Linked DNA regions of Lonchura striata. The protein of the gene in region 2 purifies or fractionates together with the protein of the main gene of each other region. This does not show direct contact. Links are inferred from orthologs where the notes say so. Each region holds a gene or a part of one and is shown on either strand. Other genes may lie near its edges. The genes, in order: ZNF503, DCAF7, PFDN4 and YAF2.

Evidence for each region.
Region 1: the proteins of DCAF7 (region 2) and ZNF503 purify together in Homo sapiens (affinity purification with mass spectrometry; 4 studies listed by BioGRID and IntAct, counting the BioPlex papers as one, with this or other methods). This does not show direct contact. The link is inferred for Lonchura striata from reciprocal best matches to the Homo sapiens genes DCAF7 and ZNF503.
Region 3: the proteins of DCAF7 (region 2) and PFDN4 purify together in Homo sapiens (affinity purification with mass spectrometry; 3 studies listed by BioGRID and IntAct, with this or other methods). This does not show direct contact. The link is inferred for Lonchura striata from reciprocal best matches to the Homo sapiens genes DCAF7 and PFDN4.
Region 4: the proteins of DCAF7 (region 2) and YAF2 purify together in Homo sapiens (affinity purification with mass spectrometry; 3 studies listed by BioGRID and IntAct, counting the BioPlex papers as one, with this or other methods). This does not show direct contact. The link is inferred for Lonchura striata from reciprocal best matches to the Homo sapiens genes DCAF7 and YAF2.

The regions. Positions count from the first base shown.
Region 1 is NC_134609.1:11,135,259-11,142,230, reverse strand, and holds the start of ZNF503 (zinc finger protein 503), read right to left. Parts: upstream 3,011-6,972; 5' UTR 2,842-3,010; coding exon 2,533-2,841; intron 1,403-2,532; coding exon 1-1,402. UniProt on the Homo sapiens protein: May function as a transcriptional repressor.
Region 2 is NC_134627.1:9,009,023-9,016,510, forward strand, and holds the start of DCAF7 (DDB1- and CUL4-associated factor 7), read right to left. Parts: upstream 3,009-7,488; 5' UTR 2,921-3,008; coding exon 2,783-2,920; intron 1-2,782. Other genes in the region: voltage-gated inwardly rectifying potassium channel KCNH6, read right to left, coding at 5,224-5,511, 5,861-6,059, 7,448-7,488. UniProt on the Homo sapiens protein: Involved in craniofacial development. Acts upstream of the EDN1 pathway and is required for formation of the upper jaw equivalent, the palatoquadrate. The activity required for EDN1 pathway function differs between the first and second arches.
Region 3 is NC_134619.1:2,290,623-2,297,517, reverse strand, and holds PFDN4 (prefoldin subunit 4), read right to left. Parts: upstream 2,724-6,895; 5' UTR 2,643-2,723; coding exon 2,619-2,642; intron 1,879-2,618; coding exon 1,771-1,878; intron 1,339-1,770; coding exon 1,195-1,338; intron 939-1,194; coding exon 807-938; 3' UTR 517-806; downstream 1-516. UniProt on the Homo sapiens protein: Binds specifically to cytosolic chaperonin (c-CPN) and transfers target proteins to it. Binds to nascent polypeptide chain and promotes folding in an environment in which there are many competing pathways for nonnative proteins.
Region 4 is NC_134607.1:38,823,463-38,830,809, forward strand, and holds the start of YAF2 (YY1-associated factor 2), read right to left. Parts: upstream 3,021-7,347; 5' UTR 2,828-3,020; coding exon 2,802-2,827; intron 2,672-2,801; coding exon 2,546-2,671; intron 1-2,545. UniProt on the Homo sapiens protein: Binds to MYC and inhibits MYC-mediated transactivation. Also binds to MYCN and enhances MYCN-dependent transcriptional activation. Increases calpain 2-mediated proteolysis of YY1 in vitro.

The DNA.
Region 1 (6,972 bases), on a different chromosome or scaffold from region 2:
TCTTGGAGTAGGGGTGGTAGCGGCTGCCGAGTCCCAGCGCGTGGTGCGGGCTGCGCAAGGCCAGCGTGCCCGGGCTGCCCGGGGCGCCCGTCGTGGGGATGTGCATGTGGCAAGCCATGGCTGCGGCCGCTGCGCTGGCCAGCGATGAGGAGCTGGGGTAGCTGGAGAGGAGTTTATCGGTGCCCGGGAAGGCAGTATGGGTCCGCAAGTGGCTAAGCAGCTCCTCCGAGGTGGCAAAGCGCTTGTCGCAGGGTCCGTTGGCCGACACCCAGTTGCAGATGTGGGGCTGGGGGTCGTTGGGGAGCATGAAGCCGTAGGGGTACAAAGGGTGGCCGGCTAGCGAAGGCGGCGTGGCGCCGGTCAGCGAGGAGTGGACGCTGTGCAAAGGGTGGGTGGGGTAGACGAGGGGGTATCCGGACTTGAGGGCTTGGTCGTGGGCACAGGAGGCTCCGGCGGCGCCTGCCAGGTGGCTGGCGCAGTGGTAGCTTAGGCAGTACGGGTCTCGGCACAGGCTCGCCGTCATCACCGACGGCGGCGACGCGCCCGCCAGCGGGCTCGACCCCGCCGGCTTACTGCAGCCCAGGCTGCTGGCGGCGGCCAGCTGGGCCCCCACCAGGCTGGAGGATTTGGTGGGGTCCAGAGCCACTCCGTGCGGCAGGAACTGCGGCGGGTAGCCGGCGTAGGCTCCAGCCAGCGTCCCCGGGTAGCTCATGCCCGCCGGGGGCAGGGGGAAAACCGTCTGGCCCGGCTTGTAAGGGGAGACGGGGGCCACGAGGCCGGAGCCCAGAACGGAGGTGGAGGAGGTGGCGGTGGTGCTGCTGCAGGAGGAGGCGGAGTCCGATGCGATGGGCTTGGAGCCCGGCGTGCTCTCCTGGTGCTGGTTGACCTCCACGTTAATCCCGGCACAGCTCACGCTAATCCGGCTGTGGCTGATGCTGGTGGTGCCCGGGCCTCCCTCCGAGCCGGAGCTGCCGCTCTTTCCGCAGCCCTCCGAGTCCTTCTTGTCCTCCCCGCCTTTGCCCTCGGCCGGCAGCAGCCCGGGCGAGCAGGCGGAGGCGCTGGAGTTGGGGCTGCCTGTCCTTGGGGTGAACGGCTGGCAGGTGGCGCTCGGCACCCGGAATCCCGACTTCTCCCCGGCCGCGACCCCCGCGGCGGGGGCGCCCGCGCAGCCCGCCGCCCCCGGCTCCTTCTTCTCCGCGCCCGGCTTGGAGTACGGCTTGAAGCTCGATTTGTCCTCCACGCCGATGTCGCTCAGCTTTAAGGGGCCCGACTTGGAGTCCTTGTCGCCTCCGGAGCCATTGGAGGTGACCGAAGAGAGTTTGGAGGAAGGGGACGGGTCCGGCTTCCCAATCTGAGAGCAAGTTTGTGCCAAAAGGGCCAGAGGGCTCTTCTTTGCATCCAGCTGCGGAAATCAGAAGGACACACAAAGAAAGAGGTTTAATGGGGGTCCGAGAAAACCCCCATTACTTACATAGAACTCTTGTCCCGTAGGTTTCTGCAGAGCACAGCCTGGAAGTAACGAACAGTTTGTGCGCATTCATCAACTTGACAGCCCCCTCCCTTGAATGCACCATTTTCCATAAAGCCTTTAAAAAGGGCTGGGGATTTTTGTAACCCTGCGAGCTCGCCGCGGCCGCCTTCAGCGTCCCCAGCCTCCCCGGCATCGGCCCGGGCAGCGGCGTCTCGGCGTCGCTCGGGCCGTGCTGCCCGCAAACCCGCCCGTGAACTATAGCGACTGCAGCATTTCTGCACCCTGACTGCTGGCACTATTTATAAATAGAGCCCGAGCTAGCCGGCGAGCAGGGCTCCCCAGGAGAAGAGAGTCCTCGCTCCGCAGAGACCTTAATGAAATCATTAATTCCCACGGACACACCCTTCCCACAACCAGCTCTGTTTCGAGTTTCGGTCCCGCAAACAGCGACCTACGCAGAGGGGGACCGGTAACCTCGACAGAGCAGAAAGGGGACCAACAGGCCCCCCAAAGTACAGATCCGCGTCGGTACTTGAAAGGAATCGGTCGGCGAGCCGAAATAGTTGTCCTGCCGCACCCACGTTTGAGCCCGTCGCTCTCCTCGTCGTGTCGTCCCGTCCCGTGTGTGTCCCCCCCACCCCACCCCAACATACTCCCTGCAAAAGCAAGGCTGTTTGGCGGTCGGAGCGCTGCTTATTTGGGTGGCCGGATCGTGACCCCAGCGTGGATCGGTTCCTTCCACCCACCCCGCTTCTCAAAAAAAAAAAAAAAAAAAAAACCAAAAAAACCCACCAAAAAAACCCACCAAAAAAAAAAAAAAAAGGGGCTCAAAATAGCAAGAAGAAAATATTAATTTACACAGGAACTAGAATTATCGCACTAAACACGGAATCAATGACCAGGAGCGGCTCCTTGCGCTAACTCGAAATCAGAAAAAGCCCCTGTCCCGGTATAAATGCATTTCAAAGCGCAGCAAAGTGCCGAGGGCGGCTGGCGGAGCCGCCATGCACAGCCAGCGCCCGGGCAGGGACGAGAGAAAGCGGCGGGGGCCGGGTGCTTACCTCGATGGGGCTGACGGGCGTGGAGGGTAAAGGCTGCAGGTATTCAGGGTGTAAAATGTGTCCAGTCCGCGCCGTGAGCATTTTCAAGACTTTGATGGGAAGGCGGTTGGCTTGGCGTAGCGGGTCCGAGGGGGGGACGGCGTGGAAGCAGGGCTTGGCGGCGGCGCTGCTGCCGTTATTCCCAGCGTGCCCGTTCGGCCCGGCGAGGTCGGCGGCGCTGCGGCTGCGGCGGGGGCTGCCTCCGGGCTCGCTGAGGCTGCTGCTGCGCTTACTACTTCTTATAGCAGAAAGCGAGGGCGATGTGATCATGACCCAAAACCTCGCATGAAAACTGGGGCAAGTGGCGCCGCTCGCACTCGGAAACGCTCGCTCGCTTTCTGCGGGCGAGAAAGGAAAAAAGCCACACGCCCCCCGAGCAGAAAAACAAACATACAATGTCCCGTGGCTCTCTCTGGCGGGGAGGGCGTGGGTGGGGAGGGGGAGGGAAAGGGGGAGCCGGCCGGAGAGAAAGCGGAGGAAAAAAAAGCCGAGTAATCCTTGGGCTGTGCTGGGGGCGGGGGTGGGGGCTGCGAGCGTGTGCCGCGGTCCCCCTCGGCCGCTCTCAGCTCCCCCGGCTGGCGCGGCGCGGAGCGCTCGCCTCCGCCGCTCAGCTGTGATGCGAGCCGCTGCCCATCCAGCCCGGGATCTGGCAAAGAAACTCACTTCAAAAGCAGCTGAATTAGTCTGAGATTAAAGCCTTTGCCGCCTTCCAATCAAATGGGACCCCGAGGTGATTGGAGGGTCAAGGGGATGTGACGTTCCCTTTTCTGGGCTTTTTTTTCTCCGTTTTTAATGGTCTCTCGCTCTTTTTTTTTTTTTTTTTTCCCCTTCCCTTTCTCGTCCGCCTTCCCTCTCCCCTCCCCTCCTTCCTTGTTTTCGCTCCTAGGATGGGATGGGCGTTAATTCTGTGTTTCACATCACGCGCTGCGAACGTTTTTCTTCCTCCGCAGCCAGCGCGGATCGCGCGGCAGCGGCGGGGCGGCCGCGGGGCCGGGGGCGCCGCGCCTGCCGGGGGGCGGCCGTGGGCTCCGCCGCGCTCCCCCCGCCCGCCCCCGCCGCTCGCACACCGCCCCGAGCACGACCTGCCGCCCGCCGCGCACGGCGCTTGCGGGCCCGGCCGGCGGCCCCCAGCCCCGGGGCCAGCCCGCCGGGACCGCTCCGGGACCAGCGCTCCGCCGTGTCCCCTCCGGGACCCGCGGAAGGGCGCGGGGCGCTTTTCCCGCCCCTCCCGCCTGGCAGCGCGGGGGAGGCCCGGACGAGAACCTGCAGAGCGCCGGCCTGCACGTCGCCGGCGGCAGCGGGCGGGAGCCGGGGCGCTGCGGCGCGGCTTGCGGCGGCGCGGGGAGCGCGGCGGGATTGGGGGAGGTCGTCACACGCGGGGCTGTCACGCACAGCCCGCCGCCGCCTTTCGGGACTCTCCGCCCCGCCGTCAATTGTCAGTGCTCCCCAACCGCAATCAATCAGTTATTTGTCAGCCCCTGTCAATCCGCCCTTGATTTATGTCAGCTTTTGTTGCTGATTACAAGCCTGGTGTGACTTGAAGGGGGAAGGAGAGAGAGAGAGGGAGAGGGAGGAAGAAGGAAAGAAAACAGTGGGAGAGACGGGCTCCTCGGGAGAAAAAGCCTTTTAATTTACGGAATAAATCCTTGGAGTAAACTGGATTTGTTTGCCAGCAGCCGGTCGCCCTCCCCAGCCCCTCACTGCCCTGTCGGGGAGGGCTGCTGGACTCCTCTTCCCCTTCCCTCTTCGTCCTATTCGAAAGTGTCCTTCGTCGCTGCACCCGCCGGGCTGAACCGGTCCCCGGCAGCGGGGGCCTGGGGAGGCGGCCCCTCGCCCTAACGAGAGTACTTGTTCGCCATTTATGTGTTTGATTTTCAGCTAGGCTGTGCTGAGAGCCTTCTGGGTACGCACACGGTGTCCACCCGGGCGTTACATTCGTCCTGCTGTGTGTCTGTGCGCTCCCGAAGGGTACCGAGTCATCTGCCCTCAACCCCGGTTTTGCGGGTGCCGGCGGATGCTCCGAGAGGAATCCGCAAGCCTTCAAGTCTCTGGGTTGCCTTTTTTCTCTTTGTACTTTGCTTCCCACTATCCCCCCACCTCCTCATCCCATAACATTTTTTCACAGGCAAAATGTGTTAATCAATCTTTTACTTTTGTTTCCGGATCTGACATGGTGGCCCACACAATCTACAACATTAACAAAAAGGTCACTTAGAGATAAAACACGTTTGACAAGTGAAGAACAAGGCAAGTGCTTTAGGGGTCGCGTCCAATTCCTGACCTGGACTCCAACCAGAACAGGCGCTGATCCTGGAAGGGTTGGACGAGAGGAAGGACTTTCACTTTCTCACGTTTAGATTTGCTGAACCTAGTCCTTTTTCTTCCCTTGAAACACTGATCTGTCCCAGTCCCTAAACAGATGTGTCAGATAGTCTTTAATGACCTGCTCTTCTTACGAGGTCTGTGTAAGGCAGGTTTTCCTCGGTATCCCCCCCTTCCCCCGCCAAGAGGTACCCTTTAAATCTTGCAGCGCAGTAAGTGTATCGGCTGGATTTTATTTAAATCACTTTTTTACTATAGTATACAGAGTAGGATAAATACAGGGAACTCCTCTAGCTTTAATGAAGATAACATTAATTTTAACAAACTTTTTAATTTCTATCTTTTCTCTGAAAGATAAGGTTTATTGGCACAACTTCTCAGCGGATAATCATAAACGTAGTTTCATTTTGCAATTACCGCGGTCATCTTGCAAAACCATCAAAATTAAAAGGCAGGGAAGAGGAGGTAGAGAAAGAAATATTGCACAAACCCCACGATATTGCAATAGGACTGACAAGACCCACAACTTGCCCTCAAGGAACTCCTCCCCCGCCCCCCCTCCTTTATCTAGAGTGGAAGTGACTTGAATCTGCCCCAGGTTTTCCCCCAGTTCTTTCTTTTGTTGTCAAGTCCAATTGATAAATGGAGTGCAGTAAAACTCTGGAAGAAAAAAAAAAAAAAAAAAGCTGAAACCTTCATTTGTGTTCATTTGCATTAAAGTGCTTGGAACAGCTGTTTTCCTTACAGGACCGGGGAGACTCCTATCTGTTTTCTCGTTGTATTTATCCTGCCTCCCAGGGTGAAAGACTAAAGATTAATTGTCTTAAGGTAGAGTCAGCTGTGGGAAGGCTCTCCCTCCCCATTTTTCCTTCCCTCTCTCTTTTCTTGTGGAGGTGAGGGTGATTTCGGGAAAGGGTTGTTTTACTTGTAAGCCAAGGAAGCAGAGGCGATTGCCGGTACATGTATAAAACAGGCAGCGCTCCGACGGGAAAAGCGGGGGACGGAGCGGGGGGAACAGCACGAACCCCGATCTTTCTGGCTGAAGTAGAAGCATCAGAGGGTAATTTAATTAGCAACTTCAGAGGACAGCTTTTTCATTTGCTTTTCTTTTTCTTTTTTTTTTTTCCCTCTCCACTCAGCCTTTGAAATGAGATTTAAATATCACTCAGTACTGTAAACTTTTTTTATGTAGAACCTTGTAAAAAAATCAGCCCCAAGACATCTCCTCCCATTTGCGCCCTCCAAAGCATTTTTGAGCTATGAGAACTTATTCACTGCGCTTAACACACGCAGAAAACGATTCCCAGCGAGGGGCTCGGAGTTAGGATGCACACGCGTAGGATCGGGCGGACGGCGGGGCTGCAGCTTGAAAGCGGTGCGGAGTTTGTGATTTGCCTGCTGCGGGCTCCTTTCCTCTCTTGAACCGAAGAAGAGCGATACTGTCCTGCTCGTAACCTTCGCGAGGGATTCTTGTTTAATGAGTCCGTGCAGACGGTTTGCTGTTTGCCATTTACTTGTGTAGTCTTGTTGAAGTTTTGGTGGCTGTTGCTTTTATTCCTTTGAAAAAAAAAATCCAAGGGTTGGAACCCGTCTTCCTCCTTTTACAAAGGAAAATTGTAACCTAAAAAAAAAAAAAAGGAGAGCAAAGGAGGAATTAATTAACAAGTGCCAGTCCACACTTTCCTTTACCTACCAGCTATTGGCAAGCATGTCAAGTCGATTTTATTTGCACACAATGGAAATGATTTATTTTCTCTTAAAAAGGAGTGGGCTGGCAGATATTTGAGGAGGAGAGGAGAGCGAGAGCGAGAGAGGAAAAAAGTTTGAAAATGCCTTGAACTATTCACTGTCGAGATGGCTAATCAGTATTGAGGCTCGAGGGCACTCGGGCAGCTTTTCAATGCGGTTTTCCTTTCATCTCAAGCTGGATGGAGGCGCTCAATTAAAAGCCTATCAGTTTGTAAGTAAATCAACGCCTATCAAAGTTGTCACATCAAACAAAACGATTATTATTGCAGCCCGCCTCCCCTATTAATCTCCCTCTAAAATAATCCGCTTGACAGGTCAGGCTGGCGAGCT
Region 2 (7,488 bases):
TGCAGTTTTATGAGCTCATTTAGAGATTCTCTTAAATGCAAAGCCTTGCCCCACCCTCCACAATGAGAAGCTCCATCCTTTCCATCTCATAACAAAAAGATGCAGCCAAATATGCTTCCAAAAACTGAAACACAGCCTGTCTTGCCCTCTCTATTATAGCAACTCCTTACTATCCTTCATATCCTAGTATAAATCAGTCAAAAATCTCCCAGACTTCTGAAGTGATTGACAAATAGCTTTCTAACTCCTTTAGGGATCAGAAGTATTCATCAGATTTTACAAAGGAAGCAAATTGTCCATGGTGATAAAAGATTTTATGGCAAGGTTAGGATCATAAGACAAATGACCTCTAATAATTTCTCCCTTGCTTATGTTTTTTTGCCACTCAACATGATTGTAATAATCCTACACAAAACAATCAACATCCTCTCCAGAAGCAAATCTCAAAGAGCAAAGGATTCCCTTTCACTGGTGTTAATGTAAATATTCCTGCACTGCATAATCACATTTAACCCCTCCTCAGACCTTAAGATAAGCAATTCAGCAATCCAGTAGCTCTGATCTTTGCCATGTGTAGGTGCAGGCCAGGCTGGAGAACAGGAATTGTACTATCACTAGCAGAGCTGCTGCAGCTCAGGGGCCTGCCCAGCGCCCAGAGCAGGAGCAGCTGGCAGTGACTGCGAGGGGGAGGCAGGCACTGCCCTGCTGGGAGCAGCAGGAATGCTTGAGAAACTCTGCAAGTTCAGAGCTGTGACTCTTCTCTCGGGACTTGATCACACACAGTCATCACGGAACCCCTCCACTCAGCCTCTCGTGCAGGCTGAACACGAGGGGATGGAACATGGAATTATTTCTAGGATGCCAATTACATCAGAGCCCTCTCTCTCTCCCTTCTGCACATGAGGCAAGAATGCTGCTGCACAAAGGAGTGCCTGAGGTCCAGCCCAGGTAAGACTGAGGTAATGCCTAAGGGAAAGTAACTGTCAGTCTGGATACAATTTGAACCATTCTACATCTCCCTATAAGTCTTTCCAGAGAGAAAACCAGGATCAGCGTGTTCAGCCTCAACTAGTTTTGTGATTTTGCCATGCCAGTAGCTAGGAATGCTAAATATTTATTTGTCGCTCCAACACTTCAATATAGGAAAATCCATACCTAATTTTAGCATATTATAATCCAAGCACTTATCAACATAAAGCATATTTGCAACAGTGCATGCGAGTAAAGAACCACCTTTAATCAGCATCCCTTAAGTTCTAAAAAAAACCTATCTCTAACTTGATACAAAAGAATCAGACGGAACTAAATGATGCAGAATTTGGTAACGGCTTCTTTTTCTTATATGGTTGGAGGAACAGTGAAGTAAGTCCACAGTAGTTTGAAAACCTCCTTAACTTTAGTCTAATTTATAACTACCTAAAATAACATTTCACGATTATTTTACAATCAGAAAGATGCCACTGCACCAATTAATCTCCAGCATTCAATCAATTTTTCTTTGCAGTGCAGGATCTTAAGAGAACAAATGACCTTCCTGCAGAAGAACTGCCCTGAACCCTCTCTCTCTGGGGCACTGCTTGGGAGGATGTGGAAATGTGGGAAGCATCTGGTCAGGGCCTGTCGGTGCGCTCCAGTGCCAGGAGCCAGCTGTGTACAGCACAACCTCTACAGAGGCATGTCCCCAAGACAACTTTCTGACTGTATTTTCCACAATCTCCATTAAACACCTTGATAAGGCTACACAGCTACATGATATAAACCAAGCTCTGTGGGCAAACCTTCAGTTTCACAAGAATTTCAGGATGCTCTATAACTTCATCCATCTTCTCATCTCTCTTTGATTTCTAAGTAATTCATTATACCGGCCAGCACCTTGAAGGTGTTCAGAAGTGACTGCACATGTGTTCTGAGCGATGAACTGGTCTCTGTTACTGGTGTGACATTCTTCACTCACACTTTGCAGTGAAACACTGAAGATACAATCTCATGCCTCATTACACCCTTGTTCTCAGGGAAAAGTACTGAGGAATCAATACTGAGAGGGGTTTATATAGTTATGAAAAAAGTTACCACACTCAAGTCCTCCACAGCAAGAAAGTACATGAGAACAGCACATTCCCAACACAGTCTCAGACACCCTGTACATCACAGGGAGTGGAAGGGAACTCTCCAGTCCAATCCCCCTTTCTAGGCAGAGTAACCTGGATCAAGTGACACAGGAATACATCCAGGTGGGTTTGGAATGTCACAGGAAAGGGAGACTCCAAAAGCTGCTTGACCAACCTGTTCCACTGCTCTGCCACCCTCCATGGAAAGAAGTTCATCACATTGAGGTGGAACTTCTTTATAGCTATATGCATATATATGTACTGGCCACAAACTTTCCTTTGTGCAAATTGAGCAAAAAGCCAGATATGCCCAACCAGATATGCCCAAGCCAGGGGAAATTGTTTTATTTCTATAGCAGCAGCAACCAGACCCATATCATACCTTTAGTTTCCAGCTCTTTACATCACAGAGAACTCATAGCACGCGGTGCTTATGTGATCGAAGCCAACACAATCGTTAATTCCGAAGATCAGAGGTCACGAGAAGCCTGCAGCAGCGTTATCCCAGAACCAGCAGCCCCCAGGGCTCTTCCCTGTGTCCCTCACCCCGGGTTAGCAGAGACCAGCCTGACGTGGTCCAGGCCTGCATTGGGGGTCCCTGACCGCTCTGGCCGTGAGGCGCCCCCGCTCCCCCAGCCTCGTTCTGCCCCAGCCCCTGTGCCCACCCTGCCCACCTTGTTGTTGTACTCCTCCACGAAACTGCCCAGCGCCAGGCGAAACCGCTTGTCGGGCCGGACGCTCCAGTTCATGGCGTACACGGTCCAGGGCGCCTCGTATTTATAGATCTCCTTCCGCTTCCCGTGCAGCGACATGGCTGGGCCGGGGGGGCCGCGGGCCGGGCCCAGGCAGCCTGCGGAGGGACCCGGCCGGAGGGAGCGGGGAGGCGGCGCGGGCCGGGGGGAGCCTCAGCGCGGCCCCGGGACAGGAGCGGACGGGGCACGGCGCGGCCCCCGGGGTGCCGGGGAGCGGGGAAGGCTCGGCTCGCCCTCGGGGCGGCGGGGAGGCGCGGCTCGGCCCCGGGGAACGGCTCGGCCCCGGTGCCGGCCCAGACCCGGCAGCGGCGGCGGCGCTGCTGAGGCCGTGCGGGACGCGGCCCCTCACACAACGGGAACGGAAGCCACGCGGGGAGCGCCGCCCACTGCGCGCGGGTTGGGCGTCTCGACTGTCACTCAGAGCGGCGGCTGCCTATTGGGCGATCTGCCTGTGCGCTCAGCCCGCCTCGGCTTTCTATTGGCCGTCTGGCCCTTCACTCCAGACGGACGGGCGCACTCCGGCTGGGGTAACCTACGGCTGCGCTTGGCCCCGCCCGGGGGGGGCGGGCACGCTCGTTGTCGACATCTTGTTGGCTGGCCGGGGTCGCATTAACTGGAGGCGGGACCTTGGGCCCTTAGCGGTGATCGATTGGCTGGAAGCGATGTCAGTCACGCCAGCCCGAGGCGGGTGGGGCCGCTTCAGGCTCTCGTGTGTCGCGGGTTCGAGCCCCGCCTCGGCCGAGTGGCGGACGGGCCCGCGCTTAATCTCTAATTAACAAGCAGTTCATTATGGTGCTTTTTTGGGAGCAGCCCTGGCGCGTACTGGCAGAAGGGGTGCAGCCGGCTGCCCAGGGAGCTGCTCGCTGTGCCCGGCACGCCGCTCGAGGCGCAGCGAGGCTGGCCGGACCCGCCGCGGGCTGTGCGGCCGGCCGGGGTCGGGGATGTGCGGTCCCGGCTCCAGCCCCCGCAGCTCCGTGTCCGCTCGGCGCGCTGCGGGGCCGCTCTGGGCAGCGCCGTGCTCCTGGCAGGGCTACCCGCTGCAAGCACCGCTGCTCTGGGCTCTGCCCGAGTTGTGGTTGAGAGATCATTTCTCGTATGCAGCTGCCTGGGCTCGCAGAAAAGGTTTTCCAAATGTCCTTTTGGGAAGGGATTGCTCGGCGAAGCCTCCGCAGGCTCCACCCTTGAGCTGACTGCGCATAGCCCCACACTCCTTGGATGAGGTCACCGGGCTTTGACCACAGCCTTTTTGGGGTGACGATGCCCGGGATGAACTCATGGATGCTCCCAACGAACACAGCTGTAATTCACCTTAGGTGCCAAAAACATCTTTATTAGCAAAGTGTACACTAAAACTCCAGAGAAAGAGATGCTCACAGTTTGACTACTCTCAGAGGGAGCTCGATACAATACTGGAGCTGGCGGTCTAGGTCTATCACAGCATCTACCCGAGTGGCGAGCGGCAGCGCTACGTGGGCTTCTCCTACGGGAATGCTGCGGAGTCTGCCGGGAGAAGGGGTGGGCAGGAGGAAGCACCTATTGAACCTTTATCAAAAGAGGGAGGCTGGGAGGGAGGACTGGACACGGGGTGTCTGGGGCTTCTCAGCTTCCTGGGATTGTGCTTTTGAATTTTGTGCTTTATGCCCAGGCCAGTGGCGACTTGGAGTTACCTGGTGAGCTGTGGGATGCGTGTTGGGGTTTGCAAGGTGTGATCAGCCTTGCTGGAGAAGTCAGTGCTCTGGGACTCGTGCTGAAGCAGGCTGAGGTGGCAGGGGATGTTGGCCCTTCACTTCTCAGTGGCAATCAAGTCGGACAAACTTCTGTCCTCTGTCCTTGTCCTGGGCTTGCCACCTGCAGTTTCCCCTGGACCACACCGTGGAGATCTCACAGTCCTATGGTGACCACCCTTCTGTAGTGCCTGCAGGCTCTGCTGGGCTGAGCCTTGTACCAACACAGTGTTCCCTGCTCCCAAGGATTCCAACACAGCCTCGCAGCCCAGAGCCCTGGATCGGCTCTCCTGTGGTTGCTGTGGCTCGCTTGGCTTGTGCCCTTCTCGAGAAGAAGCCTTGGCAAGGAGGAGGTGGTGGGAACCACGTGGCCTAACCAGCTCGATGGTGGCTGTAAGAGCTGTTCTAGGTTCACTCTAATGTGCAAATGAAATCTACTCTATTGGGAACCTCTGGAAAACATTGGCCTTGGAAGCCAGCCACTCTATACTTCCTGTCATGGTGGCAGAAGATAGCTACAAATTATACCCCTGAGCCAATGGCATTGTCCAATGTTTTACCCTTGCAGTCAAAACCAACATCAACTGACCGGGTCTGCAGCTGAGGTTCCTCTTGACTCGCCCTGCAGCCCCCACGTCTCTAACTTCCAGGAAGCACGGGGTCGGAGAGGTGTCTCTGAATGTCCTGGTGCTCGGAAGATGCCTCCAAGTGCTCAGGGAGGGAAGGGAAACGAGAGCCCCTCAAGAGTCCCTGGGCGCTTGGTGCCCTTTGGTGGGGAGGCTCTGGGTTCAGGAGAGGTGGCGAGGGGTGCTCCTGCTCAGAGTAGACCGTCATGGTTTTGTCGGATGACACCGACAGCTGCATCCCGCTTGACAAGGAGTCCCTGGATTTCAAGTGGAACTTTTCTACCTCCGTGTAGCTCGGGCTCTGGTGGGAAATGAGGAATTGTGTGGGTGATGGTAAAAGTAAAACGAAGTAGGCATACTCTCTCCTCATCAACCTTGGAGCCTCATCAGCTCCAAGCCCCAAAATGTTATTTTTCACTTGAGAAAGCCTCAGAGCAGAGAAACCCCCTTCCTTCCCCACTGATGGGCAGCCTGGCAGCGTTGGGGATAGCAGCGGTGCCCCAAAACCAGTGGTGCACTGGGCAGATCTGCTCCCAGGGCAAGACGCCGTGGCTTTGGCGGGACCCATCAGTGTTTGGCTGTGCCTTGCCTGGCGAGAACTCGGGGCTGAAGGAGCCTGGTGGGGGCTGAGCCAGCAGGGCTGACCTTACCTGCTCCTGGGTCGGCATCTCCTGGTCCTGCAGAGGCGCACAGGGGCCGAGCGGCTCCAGGCTCCGCGGGACGATGCCGTACATGGCCAGGCTGTGGGAGCTCGGCGAGATGGGGCTGTACGCGGGTGGCACTTGGGACAGCTGGCGCTGCAGGAGCTGCAGGATTATATGAATGTCTGACGACATCCTGGACTCCAGCCTGGGGACAGAGCAGCCTGGCGTCAGCGCAGGGAACCCTTTTGCATCCTGCAGCTGGGCAGGGGAGGCGCTGGGAGGAGGTGCCGATCCCGCTACCCCAGGGCAGTGATGCTTTCCCTGCTGCTTGTTGAGGTTTTTAGAGAGCTTCAAACCGGCACTACCAGAGAGAGATCAATCCTGCCATCTCTCTCCTGCCACACTCAATCATCCTCTGCCCAATTTTATGTGGAGCCAAACTGGGATCTGGAGCAGGGATTTGAAAAAAGCTAAAATTACCCTGGAGGGGGGAAAAGATTGCAATGGTTAGTTTTAATCTGGATCAATTCTCCAGGCCAGCTGCCTGTTCTGACAGATGGAGCAAGGCAGGTTAGTGCCAACCACTTTTAACTCAGGAACAGAAGAAAACAGTAAAGCAGAAGTCTATTCTTTCTGCCATGTGAGCAGCACTTGCAGGAGTGGGCACAGCCACACTTGCAGAACACAGTCCCACTTGCAGGACACAGTCACAGCATCACTGACAGAGTGGGCAGATCTGTCCCCAGTGCAGTAGGATGGTGCACTGAAGAGACATCTAAATTCAAGTGTGTGCTGAAATGAGCTTAACAAGGGCAGCAGAACCCACAGTGTCAGCCCCTCATGTGTGCTGCCTGGGGACATTAAACCTGCACCTCCAGTGTGGGCTCTTCCTTCTTCAAAAATCACAGAACAGTTGGGGTTGAAAGGGATCTTAAAGCTCATCCAGTTCCATCCCCAGCCATGGGCAGGGACACCTGCCATTAGAGTAGGTTGCTCCAAGCCCCTTCCAACCTGACATAGAAGACTTCAGGGATGGGGCAGCCACAGCTGCTCTGGGCACCCTGTGGCAGGTCTCAACCCCCTCACAGGGAAGGACTTTTTCCTAGAAATCAATCTAAGCCTACTCTCTGTCAGTTTGAAAAATCATGTATTTTTCTTATTTAGAGGCCAATGATGGCCATGAGGCTCATTTGCTCAAGCAAGAAGATGCTTGTAGGTCTTTGCAGCAGGAAGAGGGGACCTGCAAAGGGCTCCAGTTTTGCCTGTGGATGATTTAGTATCTGCAGTTGCATTGAGTTTGGAAGCCATGGCAAAGTGACAGATCTCGAGTGGCACTGTGGGAGATCCTGGAGGTGGTGACAGATGCCAAGGGTGGTGACACAGCAGCAGATGAGGGGCTGGGCCACAGCCAGGGTCAGGATTTGTCCTTTGAGAAGCCGCTGCCTTTGCAAAGCACTCCCACCCCCTCCCCAGGAATGCAGTGTCCCAGGCGTCAGGATGTGGTGTTGCTGCACACAGAGCCCACTGCAGCCACCTCTAGAAAGCAGAAGGTGATGGCCTAGAGTCCTCCAGGCCCTCTCCAACCCTGCCTACCTGCTGAGCTGGGCCTGCAGGAGCTCCAGCCTGGACTCGAT
Region 3 (6,895 bases), on a different chromosome or scaffold from region 2:
CCTTTTGTGTTTTGTTTGGTTATAGAGACAAATTAAGGTAATTAAGACATTTAAAAATTACATTCAACTCCTCCTAGTGATGGAGGCAAAGATTAGGGCTCGATGCTGACTCTATGAACCACTGTGACATCAATTTGCTACAGAAATATGGATTTAGGAGCTGTTCAGGACAATTAGAAATTAAGACTCACCACTGTGACTTGCAGCAGTTTTTGGGATTCCCAAATACAAAGCAGTAAATGAGTGAATATGGGGGCTCCAAAAGCTTTTCCTCACTACAAAACTGAGCTTTAAAGAGCCCTTGTTTGTCCCCTGGCAAACTCCTGACACCTGAGCTGAGGGTGAAACACAGAGGAGGAATTTAGGAGCTCCAGGAGGGCTCTTAAAAACCCCTGGACAGCATCATTCCCTCATCATGTCCCGTGTCACACAGTTTTTAGCCAACAGCCACTCCAAAATTCCCTCCTTCCATTTGTTTTAAACCTTTTCATGAGTGGAAAACAAAACCCAGGAAACTCCAATACATGCCTGGCTTTATTGCTTTAATAAACCACGCAAATATTCCAATTTTGATGCTTTGCCAGCAATGTGAAGTCGGTGCTTTCCTGAATAAATAAATAACTGCAATAACCAAAATAAGGAAGTTCTTATTAAATGTACAGAACTTTATACAGGGAAGTAAAAAAAAAAAAAGACAAATCAACAAAAAGAAAGGGATGGATTTTCTGTTCTCAGTATAATTGCAGCAATGTTATCAAAACATTTAATAACCTAAGGAAAAGTTGGGTGTTGTGTTTAGAAAAGCTTTAACTGTCCTCAGCCTCCAGATTTATGTTATTCCCAAACTTGGCATAGAGCTGAACTTTGAGGTCAGACAACACGCTCTGGATCGACTCCACTCGGGATTCCAGCGCCTCAATTTCCTCCTGTAAACTCCTCTGCAAAAGAAAAAAATAAATTCAAATCAATCCTGTGCAACAAACTGAGCCAGGCTTGTCAGCAACACAGAACCAGCAGAGAGGTGCCTCTTTTCCAACTCATTCCCAGGTCTGGCTGCAGGATTCACTGCTGGAGTGCCTTTGGAGTAGTTCAAATCCTAAACCAAACCAAATTTCAGACTGAGAAAGCTGCAGAGGGTGCACAGACCCACCCCAGTGCCCAGCTCACAGCACAGCCCAGCTGCTCCAGACAAACCTTGGCCTCCTCCAGCATCTCCTGCGTCTCCTCCAGGGAGTGGCTGATGAAGACATCCCCAATCTGGTAGGGAATCAGGTGGGAATCTTCATCATCCAGCAGCATGATGTCATCACAGGCATCCTCCAGGTTCTGCAGCTGCTTCTGTTTGCCAGGACACAGAAAGAGGCTCCCTGTGTAAAGCCCTTCCATGGGCACAGCTGGGTAAGGAGGCCAGAGAGGCTGGAGTCCGGGGACAAATCCCACCCACCACCAGGACATCCACGAGATCAGAGTCAGAGCTGGAATTCAGCAATTCCATCCAGTAAAAACCCCAAGTCAGCACTCATTATCTGTCATTAACGGAATAATTAACTGTCCAAGCAAGGGTAATACAGGTTTAAATGTCACTAATATCTGATATTAGTGGCATTTATTAATTAATATGATATCTTATCATTCTCTATTTCCAAAGTATAAGAAACCTCATATCAGAACCCAAGCATAACCTGAACTCACAGTAACTCACTGCTGCTAATTTTCTCTGTTCCAGCTGAAAATCCAACGAAAAGCTCATGAGATCTAAAGCAAATATACCTTTTTCACATCTATCTCTTCTTTCAGCTCTGTGATCCTGCTGGTGTTTCTTGCAAACTTGTTAATTTTCTGTTGATCTTCGAAGGTGACATTGACATCTTCTGCAGCCTGTGAGGAGGAGAGGTAAAAATGATGATTTGTGTCCTTATATTAATTTGAGTTTCACTGCAAGGATGCTCCTACAAAGTGATGGGAAATAATCTGGCAAACACCACACTCTGCTTATGCACCTGATTGCTCAAAGTGCCTCTTCAAGAACACCAGAAATACCCACATTTAGATGGGGAACATCCAATTACAACACTGCCATCCTAAAGGCAAAACAGTTTCCTTGCCACTGGCGGCTGAACTGAACACCCTGCTCCGAGTTTTCTCTGCAGAGACACCATGAACAGGAGCAGTTAGTGACATGCAGAGCAGAATGGCTGCGAATTGACAGACAGGAGGGATATTTAGGAAAGAATTGTGAGGGAGGTCGGGCCTCGGAGCCCCTGGGACAGTGCGAGGTGTCCCTGCCATGGCAGGAGGTGCAATGATGGAATGAGATTAATTTAAAGCTCCTTTCCAACCCAAGCCACGATGACGACGATTCCATAACTAAGCACCCTCTCAGAGAACAATTTTCTCCTCACGTCCACCCTGTTTATCATCGTTGTTTAAACGAGCCGCCCGAGCCCGGGGCCCTCAGCTCCCGAGCGGCGGCCGCGCCGTTCTGGGCACGGCTCGGCCCGGCCGCGTCCGAGGCTGAGGGACACCGCGGAGCAGCCTCGGGAGGGATGGAATTCCTGCGGGAAGGGAGCAAATGCTGCTGGAAAGGAGCGAATCCGCCGGGCCCGCTCCCCACTCACCGCCTTCTTCATGGTGGCGGCCATGTTGGCGCTGCAGCAGCCATGCGGGGCTGAACCACCCGCGCACAGGGGGGGCAGCGGGCGCGGGGAGAAGAAGGAGGAAAAGGAAAAACTCCAGGAAAAGGCCGCGGCCCTGGGAAAATCGGGGATTGTCTCTATGGGCGCCGCTGGCAGCGCGCCGGGATGTCCCGAGCGGCCGCGGAGCTCGGAGGGATGCGAAGGCGCCCCCGGAGCACTTGGTACGGCCCGGTGGGAGGGGCGGCAGGCGCCGTGCGGGTCCGCCAGGGGGCGCCATGAGACGGGAACGGGTGGGACCCGCGGGATCGCGGGATAACTATTGGGATAGCGGGATAACTATTGGGATAACGGGATAACGGGATAACTATTGGGATAACGGGATAACTATTGGGATAGCAGGATAACTATTGGGATAACGGGATAACTATTGGGATAACGGGATAACTATTGGGATAACTATTGGGATAGCGGGATAACTATTGGGATAACTATTGGGATAGAGGGATAACTATTGGGATAACTATTGGGATAACGGGATAACGGGATAACTATTGGGATAACGGGATAACTATTGGGATAGCAGGATAACTATTGGGATAGCGGGATAACTATTGGGATAACGGGATAACTATTGGGATAACTATTGGGATAGCGGGATAACTATTGGGATAACGGGATAACTATTGGGATATTGGGAAAACGGGATAACAGGATAACGGGATAACTATTGGGATATTGGGATATTGGGATAACGGGATAACAGGATGGGAACCATGGGATATTGGGATATTGGGACCCACGGCATAACGGGATAACTATTGGGATATTGGGAGAATGAGAGAATGGAATGAGATCCATGGGATAACAGGATAACAGAATCCATGGGATAATGGGATCCATGGGATAATGGGATATTGGGATAATGGGATCCATGGGATATTGGGATAATGGGATATTGGGATATTTGGATCCATGGGATAGTGGGATAACAGGATAACAGGATATTGGAATCCATGGGATGGGATCCATGGGATAATGGGATATTGGGATAATGGGATCCATGGGATATTGGGATAACGGGATATTGGGATATTTGGATCCATGGGATAGTGGGATAACAGGATAACAGGATATTGGAATCCATGGGATGGGATCCATGGGATATTGGGATATTGGGATATTGGGATATTGGGATATTGGGATATTGGGATGGGATCCATGGGATATTGGGATAACGGGATACTGGGATATTGCGATGGGATCCATGGGATATTGGGATATTAGAATCCACGGGATAATGGGATATTGGGATAATGGGATAATGGGATATTGGGATGGGATGGGATGATGGGATGGGATAGTGGGATATGGATGGGATCCATGGGATGGGTGAATGGGATGGGATGGAGTAGGATGGGATACTTAATTCTATAATATTGCCTGAAATAAAATGATTTCTGGTTTGGTTGTTTTTCGGTTCCGAATGGCTGCTCATTTCACAACTCCAGTTCCAAACCAGTGGGAAAGACAGGATAATAAAGGATATTTTGGGTGCTCCTCAGGCTGATGTTACATTTTATTTTGGTGCATCATCATCATAATCACCGTGCCTTGCTTCCCACTGAGGAAAGAAGTTCATCACCAAATTTCTCCCCAGAGAAGCGCATTATTTATTATTAATTTCTATAAAAACATAATCCCAGCTCCAAACCTCTCTTTTCCTCAGAAAACAAACCCTCACCCCTCCTGCTAGGAAAGGACACAGCGGGTATTTCCCTAGCTGCAGGAACTGCCCAGCACACGGAGCCAGTGCAGCTTCCCCCAAGAGAAAAGGAGTGGATTTCACAAGAATCTGATGACTCCAAGGCTTTGAAAAGAAATCCTTTTTATTCTCCCACACGCTCGGGCAGGCTCTGCGGAGTGAGCCTTGCCAAGAGTAACTCACTGCAGACCTTTCTTATGTAAATAAAAGTGAAAACAGCTCACGAGTGCAGCCAGGCAGCGTGGAGGGAAGGAGAGGAACCCGCTGAACCCAGCGCCCTCGCTCCTCTCCCGTTGCATAAAGGACTTGCTCCTTCTTGCTCTGCTCCCTGCTGCTGTTGTTTGGCTTCTCCTCCTGGGATCCCTTCCACGCCCTGCCCTCGTCTCACGGCTCCTCTGGGGCTCTTTGCACATTTTCCCTTCCTTGCTCCAGCCTTCTGCAGGGCAGCTCGCTGGGGAATGCATTGCCATGCTTTGCTGCCTCATGGAGACCTCTGGAGTTCCCAAACTTGTCTCCCCTCTCCCTGCCTCATGGAAATCTCTGGAGTTCTCAAACTTGTCTCCTCTCTCCCTGCCTCATGGAAACCTTTGGAGTTCCCAAACTCTTCTCCTCTCTCCCTGCCTCATGGAAATCTCTGGAGTTCCCAAATTCTTCTCCTCTCTCCCTGCCCCATGGAGACCTCTGGAGTTCCCAAACTTGTCTCCCCTCTCCCTGCCTCATGGAAATCTTTGGAGTTCCCAAATTCTTCTCCTCTCTCCCTGCCCCATGGAGACCTCTGGAGTTCCCAAACTTGTCTCCCCTCTCCCTGCCTCATGGAAATCTTTGGAGTTCCCAAATTCTTCTCCTCTCTCCCTGCCTCATGGAGACCTCTGGAGTTCCCAAACTCTTCTCCCCTCTCCCTGCCTCATGGAAATCTTTGGAGTTCCCAAATTCTTCTCCCCTCTCCCTGAAGCTCCACAGACCTTTCTCAGGCCTTGGTGATCTCCAAACCCTCAGACACCAACACGGTTTGTGACTTGGAAATGGGGATGAAGTGGTTGTTTCTCCAGGATGGAGGGGACCACTTTGAGCAAAAGCCACACGAATTTGTCCCGTTTCAGTCGTGCCAGTGTGGTGAAGGAGGTGGCTGTGACATTCCCACAATATTTGGGATTTACTGTGGAGTGCAGGTCCTTGTGTCTGCCATTCTTGTACCAGCATTGCAGGGGGAATGGAGCTTGAAGTAAAAAAAAAAAATCCTTTTCTAAGGGTGTTTATCTTTTCCAAAAAAAAAGAGACATCTCCTAATTATTTATGTGGCAAATCCCCCACAGTGAGGATTTCTTTCATTATTTTGTAATCTGAGGGAAGGAAAGCAGACTTTCTCACCTTTCTGCCCTCATTCTTTCAAAATCCCTCGTGTTAAATAAAAAGCAACCTCACCATGAATTCCACTACAACTGGAAATACTCAGAATTTTTCAGTGCCATCACAAAAGTGCTGCTTTGGGTGTCAACTACATGTGGGCAAGGCATGGAAATGCCGTGGCAGAAGGCTAAATGTGTAACTGCACATAAAGAAGAATGTAAATTATTGTTCTTCAGCAGAGTTTTTTTCTGTGAGAAGTGTGAAATGAGGATTAATTACCTCATGGGTAAAAAATTCACCAAGATTTTACATATTCATGGAGTTACAGAGTGGTTTGAGTTGAAAGGGACTTCAAAAATCATCATATTTCACCCCCCACCACAGGCAGGGGCACCTTCCTCTATCCCAGGTTGCTCCAAACCCTTCCAACCTGGCCTGGGACACTTCCAGGGATTCCTAAATGCTGCTGCTTTTAAAAATAAATAAATGTGCCTTCCACAGCTCTGCATGGAAGGTGACAAAAGCTTCCAGATTTCTGTTCAAAGAGAAATATTCAGCCTGGGTCAGTAACTATTGCACAAACCCTTCCCTGCTCAGGCAGGGCAATATTGCTAAAAGAGACAAGAAATTGTAACATCCCAGTGAGTGATTCTAATTTCCAGAAAAAAAAAAGCAAAACCTGCCAAGTCCTGAGTAATTCCAAGCTGACTCTCAGAGCATCTTCTCCTGGACCTCGGTTTCTTGGTCTGCTTCACCATTTTCTCCCTGATTCTCCCCTGGAAGCTCCTCTCTAGAAGATGCAGTGCATGAAGCACTGCTTGCTCATCTAAAGCAGATAATAAATGTTTCTTCACAAAGAAAGATGGCCCGATTTTTATTTTTTAAGCAATCTTTGCTTGAATTAAGTCAATAATCTTCTTCATTTTCTTGAACCACTGATTTAGAGGCTCCTTTAGTAGTGGAGTGTGGCAATGTTTATAACCCCACACAAGTCATGGCCAGCTGGAGGATTCCTGGGCTGGTGGAATTTGAGTTTTCATCCACTGCTACTGCCATCCTGGAGAGGAGTAATCATCCAGAATGGGACATAAGAAGAGGAGTTTGATGTTTAAAACCAGTATTTGAGTGAAAATAGAATAAAGGGGTTTTT
Region 4 (7,347 bases), on a different chromosome or scaffold from region 2:
AAATTCAGTCTAAAAATAAAATATAATCAAGAAATTGTAAAAATTTGCACTAATCTTAACAATTATATCAGTTACTAAAGAACATAATCCACTTCTAGCCTCTGGCACAAAAGATAACTCTTTCAGAGAGAAGAAATTATTCAACAGTGAAAACACCCACAAAACCTACCCATACCTGAAAATATTTCTGGAAAGGCAAATGTGCACAATCAGTATTAAAATAAAAAAAGCTTTAATCAACTTTGCACCTGATTTCCAGTGGCCTTCAAATCCACTTAGCTTCAATACAATTGCCTGTTTTTCCACCTGCAAATCTGGTCACATTTAATGAACTTTTAACATGCAGAATCAGGTACACATTTCAACAAAAAGAAAGAGATTGCTCTGAATTTAAAATAAAGGTAGCATTTTACAATGTCTTATAGACAAAGCTCTAATCAGTAAAAAAAGCCACAGTTAAAGCCTTTAAGCAAGAAGCATTGCACAGCAACAACCATGCTGATGCAGCACCTTAATCTAACATCAAGCTTCAAAATGGAAGACTAAAATAAATAAATAATGCATTCTCAGTGCCATCAAAACATGGTAGCATCGTTATCCTGCCCCATGTTGATGAAAACCATTTTGTCCTATAGGCAACACCAACAAATGCTTTTCCAAGGTAATCATTTGGTCACTTGGACTCCAGAGGTCTTTAGGGAAAAAAAAAAAAAAAAAAAAACAAACCCACAACAAAAAACACAACGAAAAAAAAACAAGCACCCAGATGGCCTTTTGTGTTTCTTTGGCACCCTAATGATTCTCTTCATGGACACAAAGGTCTCCTTACTGGCTCAAATCATATATCAGAACTGGAGACAAAAGCTGCCTGGCCTAAAACTTCAACTTTTATCTACCTCATGCCATGTGTAAAACTTGGATTTTGCAATATGAAGATGCAACCCATCTAAATCTTAGGGGGAAAAAGAGTCCCAAAGAGTCCCATAAACGTAATCAGGGACACATTGTTATAGAGTTTAAGTAGAGGGGGAAAAAAGAATCAACCTATTGACTACAGTTTGCATACCAGGTCACTGTCAGGGAGAAAGTGGAAACTAAAAAAAGAAAAAAGACAATTTGTTGAAAAATTATTTTAAATATTAAATATTCAAGCAGGGAAACTCGAAGACAATGAAAATATTTGTTTCTCAGAAGAAAAAAAAAATTTTAAGTTTCAATGCTTTTATCCAGCTGAGCTTCCAAAGCAATAAAACATAATTTTAAACTGAATTTTCTTATGAAACTGATTGGATGTTAGAGGCTTTTTGCATTATGTTTTTAAAGCCTTTGCATTAATTCATCAGTCTTATTTTGCTGAACGATACCAATCTGTACACATCTCTCTGTGATATAAACAGAATGCCATTGTTATAACAGGAAACCATAATATATGTGACAGATGCAATTCCCTCCTGTCACATTTACCTTACTGATTTTCTTTGTTAAAAAACAAACAAACAAAAACATTCAACTAATATTCACAACTGAAGTTATGAGAAGTCCTTCCAATATTCATTCTGGTTTTCAGAAGTCAGGGAAACTAGCTCCAGAAATAAAGAATAATCATTTTTATCGAGTAATTGGACCCAACGTTGCCCTTACGATTTCAATCATGTAACATTTATTGCAAGTCATACTCATCACTGCTTTGACCAATATCTACAATGTAATTGTGGCTTTTGATAGGATTGCAACTTGATTGCCATTTAAACTTCTCTTGCTGATGGGATTAACCCGTAGGTATGAAAAGGTAAGAAAGGATTCCTGAGCAACCTTCTATTAGCATGCATAGCTACAAGTGCACTCAAGTTCGTTTGTAAAACGCCTCCATTCCCCAAGCACACATGTTTAGGCCACCGGCAGGTACAGGAACCAGTTAATCTACAGCAAGCTTTGTGACTGGTGTACAGAGGAAAGGTCCTCCTGGGAAGTCACGGGTACACACGGAGACAATTCCATAAAGCGCAATTCAGCTAAAAATTTCTCCTGAACACTGAAGGGTTATAATCCACCCCCTATAGCCCTCGGAAACCTGCATGGTGATGCTCTGTGATGAAAAGCAAATTAAAATAATGCTACCAATAATAATCAAACAAAGGGGTTATGTATGAAGCAAAGTTAAACTCACAGGAAAAAAATTAAAATAAATTTTTAAAAAATTTAAAGGGTGACTGTCTTAGCAGGCACACCCTAGAGGACAGTTCTTGTTCGTGAGAGGGCACAATACCTCCAGGGTTAGGCTGTGCAGGCAATTATGCCCTTCCTGGTATTTATTATTTCTGTTTCTACACACGCCGGCGCAGCGCTGGGTCAGGTTCACCGAGGAGCCGCGGCCGGCGGAGGCTGCGTGTTCCCGCCCCCACTCCTGAGAAACGAGCCCCGATTCCTGTCACGGCCGCCCTCCCTCTCACCCTGGGGATGCACCGCGGCTCCCCCGGCCCCGATTCCTGTCACGGCCGCACAGCCGCCCCCCGCCGGCCCCGCTCCCCCTCCGCCGGCGACCCACCGTGTGGAGGTGCCCTTCCTCACGTCGCACATCAAGCACTTGAAGGCCTCGGCGCTGTTGCGGAAGGTGCAGACGCTGCAGTCCCAGTACCCCTCGTCCGAGGAGGGTTTCGGCTGCCGCTTCGGCCTGCGGAGACACACGCGCGCCAGGGGCAGCACCGGCCGCGACGCGCCCGCCGCCCCCGGCGCGCCCCCGCCGCCGGCCCCGCGCCCCCGGAGGGCGCGGGGGAACGAGAAAGCGCCGCCGCTGCCCCTACCTGGTCGGGCTCTTCTTGTCCCCCATGCCGGCTCCAGACGCGTCCCGGCCCGGCCCCGGCGCGGCCCTTTGTGCGTTTGTCAATAAGGAGGAGCGCGGGGGGTCTCCGGGCTCTCGCGGGGACCCGGGGAGGAGGAGCCGCCGCCGCAAGCCCCAGCTGTCGGGGAAACTCCCGCTGCCGCCGCCGCCTCCCCGCTCACGTGTCCCGCCGCCGCCAACCAGCGCGCCCGCAGGCCGCGGCGCCCGGCGGGCCGCGCACGGCGGCAGCTTCGCTGCGCGGCGGCTCGGGCGCTGCGAGCGGCGGCGGGCCCGGGGCAGCGCGGGGGCTGCTGGGGGCGGCGGGCGGAGCGGGGGCGGCGCCGCGCCGGGGGCGGCCCCGGCGGGGAGGCGGTGCGGATGGGCAGAGCGGCGCGGTGAGTGACTGCCGCCGGCCTGCGGGCTCTTCCCGTGAAGCCGCCCGTGTTGTCGCCCGAGGTTGCTCGCATTAGCGGCTGGACCGTCCTGTGCTTCCTCCCACAGAAATTGCTCCGGGCAGTGGTTTACAGTAAGAAACAAACGCGGATAAGCTGAATGCGAACTTCTGCCTAGAAGTCTCGGTCTAAAGCATCCCGTTGGCCTGAGGCCATGGGAGATCACCCTGGGTATCAATACAAAACCTGGAGAATGGTGTTGCCTTGTCCCCGTGCGCAGGGTCCTACTTTTGCACTTAAAAGCTTGCAAGAACAGCGTGGTTCTCATGCACCATAGCAACCTCAGACAGGACACGGGTGTTTATCACCTCTATTATCAGAGTGCACCAGAGTCCAGTCACAGACTAGGATGCCATTTTGCAGGGTGCTGTGCAAATAGAACAAAGAGCACATGTCCTAGGAGCATAACAAAGACAGCAGCTAGACACACAGGTAGAGAGCAGAATGCAAGAAGACAATAAAATTATACCGGTCAGCATCTCAGTGCCAAAGCTATTCCTGCTGCATTGCCAAGAAATTATGGGATTTCCATAACAAAATATGCTCAAATTTCGAGTTTTACTGAAGTGTATGAAGACACAGACGTGTTTAAAAATTAAGCAAGTGGACAACAGAGAAACTTTCTGATTTTGAAGGCAAAGTTGTCAAGATAAATTTCAGCTAGAAATACTAGGATAGAGAGGGAAAATGTAGGTAAAGCACTTGACACATTAGGGAAGCAATTAAAGACCGCTTAACTGGGATGTAGCATTTATGCAAATGAATAACACTTTTACGAGATTCACAGTTTTCTCTGTCTCTCTAGGAATGCTGTGTGTCAGCAACTGGAAACCTGTCCACCTTCCACTCTTGCCATTTTCCTCACCTTACGGTTCTCTTTCTATATATGCCTCACCTTTCCTTTCCTTTGTCTATTGCAATTTCTCTTTAGGCTTCTCATGCAGTCTTCTGTAAATTATGAATAAAATGTACGGATTGCACATCTGAGGGTGAGGCATGCCACGCACAGACAGCTGGCCTGGGCTCATGTGCATTTAGTTAGACATCTACATGGACTAGGAGCCCAGACCCAGCTCTCAGCAGGAGAAACAAGCTCATGCTGAAGGTGATTGATCTGATGCTAAGACAATTGTCTCACTTATGGAGACTATTTCTTTCCATTGACTATAAAGAGTACTTTACACCAGTAGTCCAGAAGCGGATGTTTAAAATTACAGAATTATATGAGGTATCCCACCTGTGCTTGAACCTGACCTTATGTAGAAATCTCTTGATGGAAAGCAGTAGAGAAACCTGTCTCCTTTTGCCCTTTTCCACAGCACACTCTTTCTCAGTCACTGTATAAACAAACATTATTTCCCTACTTTTGGAAAGTAATTATTTTGATATGACTGCTTTCTCTTGACCTTTCCCCTGTCACAGCCTACTTTCTCTATACCAACTGTGGGAAACGGAATTTCCACTTGTGGTTTCAAAGTGCCTAGATATGTTTTAATCCCTCAGGAACCATTCTTGGAGAGGACCATGTATAATCAGGAGGAGGAAATGCAACTGCCATCCATAAATGTTATCCCTAACAAAAGAGTAATCTTTCTGGCTGTTGTGTTCTAGACCTTCTGCTTCAAGGTCATCATGCAAATGACCATGACTAAAAATAACCATGTTTTCCCAGCAGCATTGGGCTTGTTTCCCCTGAGCTCCAACTAATCTTTATTTTGGAAGCTGAAATGTGGATGGTACATTCAAAAGTTCAAGTGTATGGGTCATGATGCAAGTCACAGTGGCCATGGGTCTGTGCAAGTGTGGGTCTTATTCTTCAATAATCCTGAAAAGGAAAAAAATACTATTTTCCTTGCATCCTTGTTCTGTCCTCAAATAGGAACACAAGAGGAGACCACTGACAGCATCAAGCCATCCCATGTCATCCCTGCAACTGAAACAGTGATGGAAGGCATTACTTAGCAGCAATGCTGGAAAGCATATGTAAGAGGTGTGTGTAATAGCCAGATACTGAAGAGATTCAGGGGGACTTTGGTAAACTGAAAAAGTAAAAAATTCCATACTCAGATACTTTGTCATCCAGTGGTATTCATGTAAACCCAGAAAACTCATCTGTCTTTGCTAAATGTCTGTATGGCACATGATCTAGAAACTTTGAATGACAAAATTGATGGCATCAGTATTAGCAGTCTTTTAAAAAATGTTTCTGGGAAAGAAAAGGGATGAATGTACTATAATTTTAGATATCCTTAAATTTTGACTTTGTCTGGTACAGTTCTTCCAGAGCAATTATTTGCCTCCTGTTTTAATTCAGCTGAGTTAATGTAAACACATTTTTGAGACAGAAGGGATGAGCAATATAATTGTATCTTTCTACATCAGGCATCACTCTCTAGTTAGTGTTTGTTGTCTTATTATCTTAAAATTTATATTTTTTGTAGCATTGTACAAGGGAAATGCTCATAGTATGATTATGATATTAAAAATCATATATGCTGATAGCTATTGGAAGTTATGTATTTCGGTGTATGGTATAAATGTTCTGGCATTCATGACTTCTCAGCTAAAAGTTTATTCATAGTAAAGAAGATGTGAAAGAGGATGGTAGAAATTTTTAAGTACCTATTGTGTAAAAATTCTTACTGCAGAAAAAATTACAGTTGTTCCTAAAAAAAGGTGTTCACATACAAGGTTATTAAGAACAAGCTAGTGCTGTGTAAATCCATACAAAGACTTGCCATTTAGTCAATACTTGAACCATCACTGTGCACAGCAAACTTGTGCCAGTTGCTGCATTATCAGCATCTTGAGCAATTAAGTAATCACTTTGTCACTGCTTGAGCTTAAAAAACTCTCCATAAAGATGATTATCATTATGTTGTAGATAAACCACATTTTAATCCCTATTCATGAAAAGGAATAGCACATAAGTATAAAATTGTACTAGAACAAATGCATGTTATTCCAGCACAGTGTATCTGTTTTGCTTGGGTTGTGGTGGTATAATAAAATTAATACAATGAAATCAATTAATGGGAATTTGACTGGCAAGGGGTTTTTTGGAATGCTAGGTAGAGTAAGGCCTGAATCCTGGCTGGGTTTCTATGTGATACTAGGGTGGGGAAAAATTGAAAATCAGAGACAGTGAAAAGTGAAATCTGCTTGCAGACTCTATAATAAAGACAATAAGATTGGTGACAGCAAGCACTGCCCCTCCAGCCTATGTTTGCTCAGCCTTGGGAGCAGCCCACTGACTACTCATGCTCCTCTTACTAGAGTGTGGAGGCAGGAGAGCGAAATTCTGCTTTAGAAAGGGCCAGAACAGAGAGGGACCACATCTAAAATACTTCATGACATCAGAGAGCCTAAAAGCTGTTTTAAAAGAGTTTTCACTTCCTTGCATGTACAAGTTTGATCTAAACATACTGTATATTTTTTAGGGAATTATAGCACTTATGAGAGTTGATTCATCAGCATATCCTTCAGGTTTCACACAGAGTGGCTCTGACATCAGCAGGGATATGCTGTCATGAACCTTGAGTAACATGGTGGTAATTAAGTCCAGGAGTCTTTCTAGGGTCATAATTTGACTGTATGCTTAGACAAATTTGGCTCCAAATTCGTCAGAGGATTGTACACAAAACTCTTGCAGGTTAAAGCACAGCAGCAGTAGTTGCGCATATAAGATCAATAAAAATCTGATCACAATGGGTTTTTTTTCATATTTGTCCTCTGTGAACTGGAATGAAATTATCAAACCACTTACTTTCAGGTACCTGGTAATTTTCAAGTAATTAATTCATTAACTGCTTACTTGTCATTTACTCTTCTAGTTTGGACCCAGCTTTTATCCTTTCAGATTTTATAATCAATTGTAAAGTTGTTCAGCTCTATAGTTTCTTTAAATCTGCTTCATGGCAGAAAACGCTTATAGTAGAAATTTCCCTACTTTTTCCATTTAGCCCCTCCCTAAGGTAATGTGAAGGATCACTGGTAGGAATGAAAGAGCATTCTCAACATTCACTAAATATTTCTGATCCTTTTGCTGGGATTTGGTGGCACACATGACAGCCTTTT